Bombyx mori: one gene and its partners. The protein of the gene in region 3 interacts with the protein of the main gene of each other region in a biochemical or structural test. Links are inferred from orthologs where the notes say so. Each region holds a gene or a part of one and is shown on either strand. Other genes may lie near its edges.

Region 1 (5,781 bases), on a different chromosome or scaffold from region 3:
ATTTTACTAACCTTATTTAAAAAAAACATACTAGGTAATAGGATTTTAACTAAGACAATTATCTCAAAAAATATTGTTTATTGATAATGAAACCATTTGCCTTTCAATTTATTCCGAAAGATGGTAAGTTTTTGTCAGTTGCTCTCTTAATTGTAAAAAAGTAATCCAATTTTAATACCAAATTTAACTTTATATTTATGAAAAAGAGCAATGTAATCATTTCATTTTTGAACTGCAAATACATTTTCATGCCATCAGATGTGCATTGTCATTGCAATTAAATACAAGGTTGTTTATAGGTTATCAAATACATATTATTTTAATTTAATAGTTTTATTTTTGTTATTGAAACATAGTTGCAATATTGCAATTTTATTAATTGATAACATGTGACCTCCTTAATAAAAATAAACAATGTTATCAATATATTTATGCATATAATGATGAAATGACTTTTAAATAATAATTTTAAAGCTGTTTTTTTAAACATCTAATTATATTCTTTATAAATATTTGAATAAGTATGTACATAGGTAGTATTTATAATTTTCTTGGACATGTTATTCCATACCATGAGTTCTAGAGAAGTTAGTATTAAAATTAGCTTTACTTTCAATTCTTGATACAGAAACACCATTTTAGACCGTATATTACTGAGCATTAAAAAACAATAAAAAAAGTGTACAGGTATGTCTGCCTCAAACTACTTGATAGAAACTAGAACAGTAACAAAATCTTGGGATGATTTTGGTGCTTTGAGAAATATATTCTGGATAAATTTTCTGTTCAATTTAAAATGTCAATCCTTCAACCAACTTATCTTCACTGGTCATAATTTATAGTCACTTGCCTAATATACTTTCACTAGAATGCAAGTCACTTAAAGAATCATGGAGTGTGCTATGCTTATAAAATCAATTTAAGACCACATTATAGTTGTGACAATTCAGATACTGAAATTTTGAGATTAGCGAGTCCAGATAGCAAAAACCTTGTCAAACTTGTCTCAGAGGATGTTACAGAGGGCAGGTCATTCATACTATGCAGAAGACCTTACATTGCAGAGGAATAAATAAATATATAACTGGGAATATATCACGAACAGTCATCTGGCCCAAAATTAGGATTCCCCATGGTATGGGTACCAGAAATTGACATAAATACTTAGGTACATTTAAATATATACATATATAGATAATAACCACCCAGAAAAAGAACAAACAAACCTCTCCATCACACGAATGTTTGCCCGATGTGGGAATCAAACCCACAACCCTTGGTGCAACAGTAAGGACTGCTAACTACCGCACCAGTGAGTCAAAGTCAAATTTGATCAGTTATTATTATATGAATTACTTATATTCTGGATTATGGAATACTTTATTAGTCATTTTAATAATGTACGCAAGCATTACAAATGTCCAAATATTTCTTTATTCTTTGAGCAAGGTATAACCTATTATAACAAAAAACCCAAAGGCTTTTTTTTGCCTTTATACTTTAGAGGTTTTAAAATTAAAAATACTTTAATAGGGATGATTTTACAGCCTGTAAAGAAAATGTGAATGGTAAAACCAAGTAGTGTTGAATTTTATTATATTTACATATTCATATAATAATATGTAATTTTTTTCTGGCAAGGAACAGAATGCATAGAAAGCCAACCACTTAACTTAACACTTCTTTTCAGATGTGATAGTAAATTTTGGATCAGGCTCATAATATTAGTCTTAACCATTTAAAGGCATCAGAGAATGCCTACTTAAAATAATTTTGAGTTAAGGCTGTATGGCCTAGCAAATTACTATTCATAATCACTACTTGTTTCTTTAGTTACTACAAGTTGTAGACTTAATTAAGACTATTTATTTCTGTTTAATCTTGTGTTTGTGTTTACAGATGACCAAGGTGTTATTTGTTGATTTTGAATATTATAGTAACAACTATTTTATCTATAAAAAATATTTCTAGACTTTTAGATTTGACTTCACACAAAATGAACTACAGTCAAAACCGTTTACGGCGACATTGTTTAGAACAACATGCTGGTTATAACAACCTAGAACAAAGGTCCCCGCTGAATGCCATATGACCGCCTTATTAAAAACATTGCTTTATACAACATTGCTTATAACGACATACCTCATAAAACGACCACATTTAACTAATATTTCGGAGAATTAGATCTGTTAGAACGACCGGCTAAGCTGTATTGTAAACAATTTGAATAGGTATCCACATTTGTCTTCAATGGCTATTAAAATCAGGAAAGAAAACAATAGGATTTAGTTTAGTGTAGGGTCTTTTCTAATTCTTAGAAACAAAACACGTGCATGCAGTAGGTCAAAAACCGCTTCTTCATATCTCTACAGTTAGTTTATTACTTATCTATACACAAAACGCACCAAAACTTTGTGGAGTTATTCGTGAAACTTTCAAAATGTCGCAAAGAAAAAGAAAACAAATTAATATTGAAGAAAAATCGCGTATTTTGTAAATATATTTTTCCAATAATTCCCTATCGATTTGTTTGTACTTGCACGATACACATTAAACATTACCGGTTGTTACGACTATCGGTTTTTACGACTGAATATGAGCAGTCCCTTCGATGTCGTTATAACAGATTTTGACTGTAATAGTATTTCCAGATTTGGCAGTTTGTTTGACTTAGGTTTTCATCTTAACGCTAAAAGGATCCCAGGAGTTAGATAAGCACCAAATATCATAACCACAATATTCCAATATTGATAAGTAACACCATAGTCGTCTTAGACCACAAAAACTGTAAAATATTTGAAATATCAGAAACAAATGACAATAAAAAATGTGAAATTCAACTGTAAAACTAGTCATAATAACTTCATTATTGTTTTTATATTCCAATACCTAAGGTATGTAATATAAATTATCTAAATATTAATCGTTATCTAAATATTAATCGTTATTAAAATATTAATCTAAATATTCATTGACATCTCTTTGCATACTTAACTGTTCGGATGAAACATTTCACACAAAAATTGCATCTTTGGAGGACTCAATGGATAATCAGGTGGGAAGACTAATTTTGCTGGAAAAATGCCACCTTCAAAACACGTGCCTTCAGGACCTCTGTAATAAATAATAAATAAAGCAGCATTTTTTTTCAAAGAAAATTAAATTGTAAAAACACCAGTATATACATTTGTTAGGTAATTTAGACTTAAATTATACCAACGGAAAGATATCAGAGCTGAAATATAAAGTATACTACTGAAAATATGTTTATTTACTTACGTTATGAAGGCTTCCCATTCGAAGAAGTTATCTTCATTTATAGGCCCAGCTATAATACCTTCCGGCGGATTTACTGTTAATTCTGAAATTGTAAAGCTATTAGAATTACGTACATTTACATGAATGCAAAAAAAATATTACTTTTTACATACGCTTATATTCTGCCATCAACCTCCGCAATGCAGAACCAGCCATCATTTGGTCCGTAATTTTGAATGACAAAATGGTACGTTGGGGCCAAAAATTTACTCAGTGGCGTTCGAGAGCACACTGAATAACCAATATACTGCACGGAATGATCTCAGTTTGCGAGAATAAAGTTAACAGTTAATGTAATCCAATGCAGTTAATGAGGACGACAGAGAACGCTTTAATGCCCAGTGAAATTATTCAAAGTACTATTTATACTTGTCTTATCGTTCTTTTTTTTTCTGGGATTAAACTGGGGTTTTTATTTGATGAATTGTTAACGTATTTCAATGGAAACTTAATCTGGTTAAAAATACGAAGTCAAAGTATTGTACCCTGTTTTTGACTTCCCTCTGATTTGTCTGACTCTGTCATCAGAATTCAGATTTTATCGTTGGAATATTCTAATATACCGGCAAAGGAAACAATCACAAACAACCTAGCTGTTTGCAACTGAAGGATGATGCCATGTTTATTAGATAAAACCATTAGACGTAATTGATGAAATAATTTCCCTAAAAAGGGACAAAGTGTTAGAATTTATTAATACTTCAGTTAACTGCTTGGAAAAACCTGATAAGGCACATCAATTCATTGTGCCCTCTTTCAATTTTCATAAAAATTTGTATAAGATTAATAAAAGTTGAAGAAAATATAAATTCGACGTTAGCTACAATGATTTAAAAAGAATCCGATTTCTATACTGAAATGAGAAGAAGATACTTGAATCGGATACACTTTTATACTACTCGGTAAGAAATAATATATTATTCAAATATTTGTATTTGTAAACAAAGTCCTAAAGATTGTCATCGTGACTTTTTATTCATCAACGATCTTTTATTTTTATGTTCATTGGGTGACGGTAAAAATTAAAAAATAACGATATCGTCCTCAGTATTATCAACCTACAACAACTGTTCTTAAGGAAATTGCTATCGAAAATAGAGATAAGTAGGTTCTGTTTTATAATATTACATATTACCATTGGTTTCATAAATAGGTGCTTGAGGTCGATACTCTCCATATTCTGGCTAGTCACTATTTTCACTATTTTTAATAAAGACCTCTGGACTAAAAATGTCAAAAAACCCCCATAGCGCAAGACATTGCCCACTGGAAATGGCTACGTGCATAGATAGGATACGCTCTACAGCGCAGCGGAGTCAACGCAGCATCAATCGTGTTTGAGTGGCAACCCGTGGCAGGAGAAAACCTGGTCGCCTAAGTATACTTATTGACGCACCGTAGAGAACGAGGACTGCCGGTATGACCTTGAGTGATATCAAGGAGCAAGCGCAAGACAGGGTCAAGTGGAGACAGCTTGTGATGGCCCTTTGTACCAGCAGGGTACCCTAGAACTATAACAACAACAGTGTTGGTGACTTCTAAGACCATCACTTTAACTTAATGAAAATTATTACGCAAAAACATTACCAATGTCATTTGCGTTATATATGTACATTCAATGTAAGACAATAAAAATCTCACGTTTTTGGATTGCTTCGCGACGCCATCATGTGCATATTTATAAAGGCAATTAATTAAGAGCTTAATATCTTTATTTAGTCTATGGTTGTCTTCGCCTTAGATTGTTACTTCAGGAAAATCAAATTTATTTACATTGTGTACCGTAAAATGGGGCGATTCGGGACAAATTCCAACTTTATGAGCAATTTTAAGGTAGTTGTTGATGTATATAATGCTATATCAGGATCAAAATGATTGAGTCTTGGGGGCATCTTTGTTGTCTAATTTAAAATTATGCAACTAGCATTCCAGTTTAAGCAAAAAATGCAAAAATAGGTGTAATCCCTATTTACCCGAAAATTGCGGTTAATTGGGACGAAATGAGAAATTTGCTAGGGTTGGCACTACTTTTATTTTTATATATAGTTTTAATTTATTTATTTATTTAGTTGCACCAACAAAGTGATCATCAATAAAAAAAATTGAAAAACTGACAAAAGTACATGGCAGACATCACCTCAATTATAGGTGCAATCGACAGTGCTGATATTTCTATCTGGGTTAAGAGATTAGGTGTGTCGGTTATTCCATGGATTAATCAGATGAATACCCCCACTCTGAACAAATATTAAATATTTTATTAAGTGTTACTTAGACATTTTTGTCCACCTTGAGATTTTATTGATCTTGTTACATGTCTCTGCAAAATCGACTTACTTATATTAAATTGCTTATCTATTTCAACTAAAGACTTATTCCCAATTTCGCTTCGAATAAACCAGATTTTTACCAACAAATTTAAAAAATATTGTTATAACTACATAGACAACCCTACAAACCTGT
Region 2 (5,662 bases), on a different chromosome or scaffold from region 3:
TATATATTTGGAGAAGGACCCATCTATGGATATTTGTCTAGCGATGATCGCGCCGTTGACAAGATGCCTCGAATTTTGCTTACAGGACAACCAGTTGAGTGAGCTCGAAAACCGCGTAAGGAAAACTATTAAAAATCTGACGAAAATAAGGAAGTTTTCTTCGACAAATGATGTTACTGCAGAAATACTCAGCGACTATCTGAGATCGGTAATGGATAAAGGGGAAAGATCCCACTTTATGTATCAAGCTTTAGGTGATGTCGTAACATACTTTGTGACGTTCATAATACATTGCTCACAAAAAATCGAAAGCAGTAGTTTAAAGTCACCAAAAAAGCTTAAAACGTCTCCCATCATGGAACTGCTAAAGGAAGCAACACAAAACTACTTCCAGAACCGCAGTTGCTTGTTACCAATCATTCTGTTTCACAACGTTCTACAAATGGAATGGGAAGGAATTTATGAGTTAGCCCCGATCGTAATCGAGAATGTGTTCAATCCCGAAGTTAGACAGTTCCGGCGCAACGAGGGATTGGAACTTTTGGCGGGCCTGTATCGAGCCTTGAAGAGAAACAAACCCGAAACGGATAAAGCGCTCGCTTGCCTAGATAATTTGGAAAATAAATTTGATATTACATTAAGAAAAACACTGAAGGGGCAACAGCAATTGGCTGTCAAAAACAATTTCTTCCTATTACTAAAAAAATTGATAAACAGCATGAAAATTTTCCACGAGAGCTGCCATGTTAAATGTAATTTAGATTTTAATACTTTGTTAGAAATCGTAGGTTCTTGTAAGGGTACACTAAAAGCGAGTGAAAATAATAAGAAAGCTAATGCGATTAACCAAAATAGTAAAAATGGTGAAATCGCGAGTAAGCAGCCTAAAAAAAATTTAAAGAATAATATAAAAAACAAAAGAAAACTAGAACACATGAACGGACACGCTGATGCGCACGGAAAGAAAAAACGAAGAGATTCTGAAACAGTTGATTTGTAAAATATTTTTTGTATAATTTATCATTTTCACAATGAATATAATTATTTTACATAATTTAAAAATTTCGTCTTTCTTTCTTCCCTTTAGTTTAGTAAAATATTAACTCAAAATATGCATTCAAGCTTTGACTACCTAACTTTGGATATAAGTTATTCAAACATAATTTATTTAAAACCAAAGCTAGTATGTACATAGCGACATCTATAAAAAAGGTTATTACACTCTGTGAAACGCTCAATAGGTGGCGTTATAAATATCCGCTCTGAGTTACTAGACCAAATAAAGTTATTAGAAGATTGAAGTGTGGAACACATGAAATACCATTGTTTTGGATAAAATATTTCTTAGTTTTTAAGGGCATGCACTTTGTGACAGTTAAGGGATTCAGTAACTAGACTAGACTCTAATACTTTTAAGTTTTGAACAATAGCTTCATTTCTTTGCCTCCTTAAAAATTACAGAAAATGTTGACTAATCTCATCGCATTATTTAAACCTAATCAACAGAATTGTCGTAATCAATATGAAGTTTGGCGTGTAGAAAGGCTCAAACGAAGCGATATGTTTTCTTAAATTCACTAACTTCTTATGACAATATAATACAAAGCATTTACCAGAGCTCAAGAGCTTTCCTACGTTACTTAGATAGTAAAAAACAATATTGAAAGAATAATAAAATTATATTTTAGCTGTAAACCAAACCATATAATTAAGATTAATCAGTGACAGTAGAATGACACAGAAAATATATGGCAACACAAAATCAACCGGAAGTAAGTAGTAACTCATATGTTTCACAACCTGCTCAAAACTCTGCCAGCCATCTTTTGTCGAAAAATCATTTGTTTCGTGTCTTCAGGGTAAATTTCACAATTGTAATTAATGTCAGAGCCACAGTCTTCGCTTTTATTAAAAAAGCAATTAGCTGGTAAGTTCTTATTTAACATAAAACTCATGTATAATATGCCAGTCACCGCGCTAGTCAAGTTCTGAACGAAATTCGTTGACCTTATCGAGTCAAATTTGGTAACTATTAATTGTAGTATTTAACGCATTTATAGATTATATTTCAGGTCTAATGGAGTTAGGTTAATTAATGAGGAATAAACCTGCCAAATAAAATCAATATCCGTTGCGATGACAGGTACACTTTGCCAAAGTCAAACTGTAGATCGAGTGTATTTACGATTTGGATTTGGCAAAGGTTCACATTACTGGCGAACAATGCGGTTAAATGTCCATAATCTTCCGATCTGTGCATTGTCGTTTGTAAAATGAGTGTCTTTTAAATCTTTTTTTTATTTCAGAACTGAACAAAAACCCAGTAGAAGGCTTTTCTGCTGGCTTAATAGATGACAATGATATATACAAATGGGAAGTCCTCATTATTGGTCCCCCAGACACACTATAGTGAGTAAATACCCAAGTTATATATAGTTCAAAGCTATATCTCTCAGTAATCACTATTATTAATTGTTTGCATATTGTAATGTTTATAAAAATGCTGGTGGTATGGTGTATAGCCTTTAAGATGTGTAGATGTATATCATCCTGCATATTTTTTGAAAGAAGCTTCAAGTTATTCAGTTCTGATGGTTCAAGGCAGGTGGCAACATTCACATTGTGATGTCTAAAGACTCCTGTAACCACCATACAGGCTGCAAGTTTTTTAACCATCTATTTAATAAAGAAAAGTATTAAATTATGAGACATGTTGTTTATTCTTAATAAAAATAATTTTCAGCGAGGGAGGTTTCTTTAAAGCACATTTAAATTTTCCCAAGGAATATCCTTTGAGACCACCCCGGATGAAATTTGTGACTGAAATATGGCATCCAAATAGTGAGTATGATGATAATTTTTTTTAGTTAATAATAGTAGAGTATTTTTAACATTTTAAGTTTAGATTACTTTTATATTGACTTAAAGCTAAACAAACCCATTAAGTTTGTTTTGCGAGTGCTTATCATAAATTAGATGTCTAAGTATTTTTTGTTTTGTTTTGATACACTGAATTAGAGAAATATAGCATTACTGTAAAGTGCTTCACTCATTAAAATCTAAGGGTAATTTGATTGGTACAAATTCATTATGATTACAGCTAATAAATATTGTATAGAAAATAAATATGAAAACTACAGTATTTATAATTATTGAACGTATTGTTCATCCAAACGAGTCTGTACTGTCCTGACTATTTCTGTTTCAAAGCAGTGTCATTCAATACAATTGAGACTGACTTGATGTCTAAAACTGGATAATGACATTTACAAAATGGGATCTTCACTCTGGTAACTATAACACCAGGTGGACCATTACACAATTGACTCCATATATCCAATAAATAAATAAGAGTTTAATAAAAAAGCAAAGGTGAACTTCTTAGTACCATGGATTTACTATGTGGGTGCCTTCTATTATATTTTAGAGAGGAATTTATGGTGCAGGTTTAAGGAGTCCCTACAAATGTGGATTACACTCGAATTATTTATGTAATTAATGTAATGAAAATATGACTTTCAGTTGATAAAAATGGTGATGTCTGCATATCAATACTTCACGAGCCAGGTGATGACAAATGGGGTTATGAAAAAGCTTCAGAACGATGGTTACCTGTGCACACAGTTGAGACTATACTGATCAGTGTCATTTCAATGCTCGCTGATCCAAATGATGAGAGTCCCGCTAATGTTGATGCTGCAGTAAGTGGTTTTTTTTTTGCACGTAAAATGTTTCCATTTTAATTCAATAATTTCATTGTAGTTGTAAATGTTTTTGTTATAGAATATTATATTATATATTACTTAACCTATTAAATGCATTTGTAGCAATTTATATAGCTTAGAGCAGGCAGAACATGATGCTAATATACCAAATAGTTGATAGGCAAACTGTTGTTTGTGTTGTAATGTCCAAAATTAAAACTGATATTTCAGTTCGCTTTCTTTAATTGAATTTAATAATTTAATTCATTAATGAATGAATTCACGAATGAAATTTAATTCATTAATATTTAAAAATTAATATCATTTTAAACTTTCAGACACACATTTGTATATCATTAGGGAATTAAGCAGGTAGCGATCACTAACATATTATTTAAACACATCACACACAAAGACACTACTTTTGTACTAAGAGAGGCATAATATAATCTTCCCTAACTAGATATCTTTACTATTCTCGATCATTATTTTTCTGAAGTATACCTTAAAATTTTGGATATGTATATTTTTTTAACTCTTGGATTTCCCTAACAAAGAAATAAAATATTTATCAATACAAAGTTGTACTTTTATCTATAAAATATAAAATGCTTCTGTAGGAATAATTTGTATTATGTAGATAGTTGATTTAACTAACTCTCTTGTACAAACCTTTTTTTTTATTGCTTAGATGGGTAGACGACTCACAGCCCATCTGGTGTTAACCTAGCAATGCTCAGAAACAAATTATGCATAAGCAAGATATAAGCCAGGCAAAATTCAAATTCAATCTTAGTACAATTATTCAAACTGATAGAGAATAGAAACTGTTCTATAAATATAGAATCTGAACATTTAATATGTGGGCGTACATACCTTTACGCACATTGAATTTGAATGTTATTTTTAAACAGTGACACTATGCTTTTTGTTGTGATTATAAGGAACATTACAAATATACTGATTTATCAAAACTGTCCACACCCCACCCATTGTACAGTTATGACTATGCCACACCTCTGCAGAACCAATGACAAGTGTAAGGTTTCAACTCACAATATATAATGATTTTTGAACACAGAAGTAGAATAATGAAAGAAAATTTGAAAAATTTATTTTAATATTTGCTCAATTGAGAAGGTTATAATTGATAAATTTTGTTTTGAAGTATTGAAGTATAAATTAAGTATTTTGGTTCATCTTTTCAAAGAAATAATAAGTCTTTCATATGTAAACATCACATTTTTATGTTATCTAATATACTTTATATATTATTAAAAAACCTCATTCATCATCATTTCTATAATTGTGTTGTAATACTGTATTGTAAGCTACAGACGTAATTACCTCCACTTAGTTTGTGCATGTAGATGTATTTGTGTAGAACTAATCACCTAACCATTGTTTGATTCCACAGAAAGAATGGAGAGAACGATATTCGGAATTCAAAAAGAAAGTTGCCAGATGTGTTAGGAAAAGTCAAGAAGATTGCTTCTAGGAGCAAAAGGATATTTAGAAAAGAATATATATATTGCTGAAAAAGGGCCATTGTGACACCGGCAAACATTTTACTACAAACACTGAAAAACGTTATACATTTGGCATCGCCGTACGCATCCCCTTACACCAAATCCGCACACGTCCACAGCTGATGTGTTTGCTTATTCTGTTTCATTTTTGCAGAAAGAGTGGAGAGAATCCTATTCGGAGTTTAAAAGGAAAGTAGCACAGTGTGTGAGAAAGAGCCAAGAGGATTGTTCCTAATAACAGTGCCCTTTTTCATAATTTGTTTGGATTGTGAGAGTGATTGGTGAGATGTGGTTAGGACGCTGAGCGGACGCCCCCGCCTGGCCCAGAGACTATATTCAAATTGATTTAAAATAAATACTTATAATAATGAGATGGTATCGCTGCCGTATTTTATAAATAAAATAGAATTGAAGGTCTTTTTTTCATCT
Region 3 (4,656 bases):
TCTGCATGAACACTACAAACAAACGCACGATTCTTTATTGGTTTAATGGCATCCGAAACGGTAATTTTAATCAGAAAAATAAAGTTAAAGTCGAAAACTAAAGTCAACAGCGACGAATTAAAGGCGGTGTGGAAGCTGACGATTACTCAATCTATTGCTGAGTCAGCAGCAGCTTTCAACGTTAAATTGTCAAGGTAAAAAAAAAAACTAGATAAGTGCGTGCCGCACGAACTCAACGATCGCCAGAACGATTAAGGCTTTAAAATATTCCTTGCGTTGGTTACCAGACACAGAAACAAAGGGATTTTAAGCCGCACTGTCACATGCTACAAAAAATGGATTCACTTTAATAACCGTAAACAATCATCATATTGGTAAGACCTTGGTTTGGCACTTAGGATATAACCCAAACTAAAACGTAACTCAAAAAAGTCATGTTCAACAGCTTTTTACCACTCACTATGTGAACTGTGAAGAACTGGAAACAATGATGGAGGAGATTTCCGAATCTCCGGCTAGCCTTGGTTAATCACTCGTACCCGCTGCTCCGACACGGCAACGCTCGATCCCATATGGCACAACCTACAGACTCTACACTACAGGCGCTAGGGTTAGATGTTTTACGTTATCCACCACTCACCAGAACCTGCGCCAACAGCTTTCTACTTTTTCCAAAGTTGCACAATTCTTTTTGCAAGGAAAAAATACAATACCCGAGAGGCAGTACAAAATGTCTTTGAAGAGTTTGTTAGCTCCAATGCACGTGGTTTCTTCAAGAAAGGCATTAAAAAATTAGCACGGCGCTTGGAGACATGCATCAAAACCATTGCAACTTTTATTGAGAGAAATAAAAAAATTAAAAAATTACTGTGATTAATGGTTTATATACCGTGATCATGGCGCTTTACAAAAAGGCGAAATTCACTAAAATAAACAATCGTGGTGAGAGCACTATCAATAAGATATAGACATAATCAAGTGACTGGGATTATCCATCAACAGCTTGCTCTGAAATATAGCTTAGTTGATTCTGCTGTACCTTATTACTAATACCAACCTCAGCAGCAAATTCTTAAAAATGGTCATGTAACGCTCTACTGGAATCGATCTATTATCATGGATAGGTCTATTGTTGCCAATAAGCATGTTATTGTTATTGGTCTGCACATCGAGCAATTTTGGTTGATATCACCATCCTCATGACGAGAACCTAGTAAAGACAGGAAAGGACAAATTAATAAAATATTTAGGCCTCATTCACGAGACTATCACCATGTGGCATGTTGATTCAACCATCATTGTTCCAGTAGTTTCAGTACAAAGTTTGATAGTGAACATTTTCGTTATCCAGCTGGGTTGGGGTCTGGTACAAAAATCAGTCATTCTTGATACGGCGCATATTGTGAGGAAGTTTCTCACTCTGGAGACCTAACAGCTTGTGTCGTAGACACCGCCATCGGCGACAATAATCGTTTTATGTAGTGTTTTTTTTAAATAGTTTTTGTAATATTTTTTATTTTATTAAAATACCGTATAATTAATAAGATTTAGATAGATAAGATTTAAAAATACAGTATAATAAATAACACTTTGAAACACAATGAGGTGAACACATTCATATCTGGATGCACTATATAGAAAAGTCGGGTGTTAGTGAAATATGTTAATTCCTCTAATTACAAACGATTTTTCGGGAAAGTTTATTTAACAACTTGGCAACATTGTTAATCTGACAAGCCGATTTTTGGCCTAAAGGTCTAGATACCAGGCCATAATCTTCAAAATAAAAAGCCGATTTTCGGTACTTGTAACACTAATAATGTCAAAAACGTCAAAAAACAAATCAACATGAAGTTTTTAAAATTTCGATTCAGCTGTCAAAAACATAATACACAACCTAACAACTCTTGGTTATTTTTTAATAAAACGGGGTAGTTTAATTTGAAAATGGCTTCTGTGATGGATGTTGATGAAGAAGAAGTTGAAATGGCTTCGTCTAGTAGTGGCAAAGGAGATAAAAAAAGATTCGAAGTAAAAAAGGTGAGGTGCCATTTTGCAAACTCATTGTTGAGCTCTTAATATTGAAAATTTCTTTGTTGTTTCTAGTTTTAATGTAAACAATTTTGTTACAGTGGAATGCAGTAGCACTCTGGGCTTGGGGTAGGTTTCTTGATAATAAAGTTTCGTAACCTCTACATCGTTCTGAACATGATTTTGCTTTCCAGATATTGTTGTCGACAACTGTGCTATTTGCCGAAATCACATAATGGATCTGTGTATCGAATGCCAAGCAAATCAAGCCTCAGCCACTAGTGAAGAATGCACAGTTGCTTGGGGTGTTTGTAATGTATGAGTACCAATTTTGGAAAACACAATCATTATTGACTCAAAACTAATTTATTTAATTGCTTGTTTTTGTTACAGCATGCATTCCATTTCCACTGTATTTCCCGTTGGTTGAAGACTCGACAAGTTTGTCCACTAGACAATAGAGAATGGGAGTTCCAAAAGCAAGTACATTTTATAAAGATATATTACCATATATTCCGTATAATACTTTAATATTGAAATTGGTTGAGTGGTAAATAAATCAATGATAAGGTATCAAAACTTGTTCACATTTAATATAGACAAGATATATTCTATTAATAATATATTTATATTTTTACAGGTATGGTCATTAAATGTCATTTAGAAGAGCTGCATCCTGCACAGGAGTTTGACATCTTCTGAACATAGGGAATTAACATGTCAATATCTATTAAGTTTGTAATAATAAAATAACTCTTACAAAATTCTGTATGTGAATTTTAATTGAAAATTCGTTGAAAATCTGTTGTTCATAATAATCTGGCATAAAAATAGTAAACTCCTATGATTATAAATAAAAATTTTACTTAATGGAAGCAAGTCACTCCAAGATATTCTTGCAAGCACGTTATAAATTACAAGGTAAATAAAAATTACATAAATTACTCAATAAAGTATAAAAAGAATTTTCAGAGGCATTTTATTGTGATATTTATTTAATTATTATTTTACAGTCACTAATTTGTTAACATTGTGGAACTTTTCTGATTTTTATACCCATTCCCAGGGAATATCACAAAAGCTAGTAGCCATAACTAGCAAAATATTATTACTATACTGTACCTTAGTAACATAAAACTAGGCTCATTATGATATACCAAATGAAAGTTTCAATGTTCTAAAATATTGTGAACCACATTTAACAGTCTGTTGTAATATTGGTATCCAAACCCCATTTCATTTGTAAATATTTCACAAAATACTTCATATGAATAATGAATAGTAAAGAAACAAATATTATTTTTCATATAAGTCACTGGCAGATATTTTAAAAAATGCTTAGAATCAAGAGAAGTATTAGTCAAAGTACAAAATGCTTACTCAATTTTGGAGATAAACAAGAAATTTACAAACAACCAACAATCAATACCACAAATTTGCAAGCAAATTTCAAGGTTCAGTTCACATTACACTTTGGCTTCTCTTGATTCATTCTAGTCCTGGACGCTGGCATGTATTTGGATCATTATTTTGGGATTAGATTCAACTGTTACGAAACAATTTATTCAATAGTTTGTAACACTAAATAATTGTAATTGATAAATAAAGGAATAAACAACAACTTTACTTGAAGTCAGCACTCAACAACAATGCTCATTACAAAATTAATCCATGATACCTAGTTCAAATATGTCAGTACTAGTTTTGCTTTCCACAGACAAGTTTTTACATATTAAGTAATCAACTTTTGTCTTTTATCTTTTGCAATGTGGATAACAATTGATTAATAATTTCTCAATAAGTACAATATGCTAACTAATTAAGATCCTGTGAGTTATCATAATTAAGTTAATTAAAATTACCATTACAAAGAACACTTTTTTTACAATTATTTACATGATACTATTAATACACTATAATTCATTTATTACTACGATTTAATTGTAATTTTTGTTCTTTAATGAAAACGGGAAAAATAATTGTGCTAATTAAATAATAATGACATTATTTCACTATTGGATTTAATAAATATTGGAATCATCAAATAAAATCCAAAACCTATCACACAATACTCAAATTTCCAAATTTTACATCACAAAATAAATACTAGGTAAAATAATTCTAGTCAGTGATAATTATACTAATTATTGAAAATAACGGTGGAAACAACAATAAGGTAGTTGCGGCTGTCAGTCTGCTGATAAAGCTGTAGGCAAATCGATAGTGCGACTTTCGTTGCCAAAAATTAATCTTAGGCGTTTCATTGGAGGCAGAGGACGGACAGGACTATGTTTTCGATGTCGTTCCTTGGATCGACGTCGTTTCTTCAAGCGTCTAGCAGTTTCGGGATCGACACCTTCTAATCGTAAAACTTCATACTCTGGTGCTTCAGCAGGTGCTCCACAATCCATTACCTCTTCAACAACAGGACTTCGTTTTACACGTAATGTCAACTTCAATCCACGCCTTGGTGGAGTACAAGGGCAATCACTGCTTTTATTAGAATTATCCACTAACCAAGGAGGTCCAGAATCAACTTCTCTTTTTGACTCATCACTTCTATTGCTTATTTCTATTTTTTGAACCTTATTGTTTTTACTATTGTTAGGCTCACTTGGATTTACA

What was found. The genes of interacting proteins can lie anywhere in the genome.
Region 1: the proteins of ring box protein (region 3) and ubiquitin-conjugating enzyme E2 G2 form a complex in vitro, tested with the Homo sapiens proteins (3 studies listed by BioGRID). The link is inferred for Bombyx mori from reciprocal best matches to the Homo sapiens genes RBX1 and UBE2G2.
Region 2: the proteins of ring box protein (region 3) and ubiquitin conjugating enzyme form a complex in vitro, tested with the Homo sapiens proteins (8 studies listed by BioGRID). The link is inferred for Bombyx mori from reciprocal best matches to the Homo sapiens genes RBX1 and UBE2G1.

Annotation. Positions count from the first base shown.
Region 1 is NC_085107.1:15,234,491-15,240,271, reverse strand, and holds the start of ubiquitin-conjugating enzyme E2 G2, read right to left. Parts: upstream 3,870-5,781; 5' UTR 3,478-3,869; coding exon 3,432-3,477; intron 3,362-3,431; coding exon 3,280-3,361; intron 3,115-3,279; coding exon 2,996-3,114; intron 1-2,995. UniProt on the Homo sapiens protein: Accepts ubiquitin from the E1 complex and catalyzes its covalent attachment to other proteins. In vitro catalyzes 'Lys-48'-linked polyubiquitination. Involved in endoplasmic reticulum-associated degradation (ERAD).
Region 2 is NC_085122.1:9,585,771-9,591,432, forward strand, and holds the start of ubiquitin conjugating enzyme, read left to right. Parts: upstream 1-1,793; 5' UTR 1,794-1,881; coding exon 1,882-1,927; intron 1,928-2,306; coding exon 2,307-2,409; intron 2,410-2,743; coding exon 2,744-2,841; intron 2,842-3,522; coding exon 3,523-3,701; intron 3,702-5,121; coding exon of another isoform or gene 5,122-5,202; exon of another isoform or gene 5,203-5,387; coding exon 5,388-5,468; 3' UTR 5,469-5,662. Other genes in the region: myb-binding protein 1A, read left to right, coding at 1-1,000. UniProt on the Homo sapiens protein: Accepts ubiquitin from the E1 complex and catalyzes its covalent attachment to other proteins. In vitro catalyzes 'Lys-48'-, as well as 'Lys-63'-linked polyubiquitination. May be involved in degradation of muscle-specific proteins.
Region 3 is NC_085119.1:7,171,305-7,175,960, reverse strand, and holds ring box protein, read left to right. Parts: upstream 1-1,888; 5' UTR 1,889-1,947; coding exon 1,948-2,040; intron 2,041-2,132; coding exon 2,133-2,160; intron 2,161-2,225; coding exon 2,226-2,347; intron 2,348-2,424; coding exon 2,425-2,510; intron 2,511-2,671; coding exon 2,672-2,684; 3' UTR 2,685-3,018; downstream 3,019-4,656. Other genes in the region: histone-lysine N-methyltransferase KMT5B, read right to left, coding at 4,221-4,656. UniProt on the Homo sapiens protein: E3 ubiquitin ligase component of multiple cullin-RING-based E3 ubiquitin-protein ligase (CRLs) complexes which mediate the ubiquitination and subsequent proteasomal degradation of target proteins, including proteins involved in cell cycle progression, signal transduction, transcription and transcription-coupled nucleotide excision repair.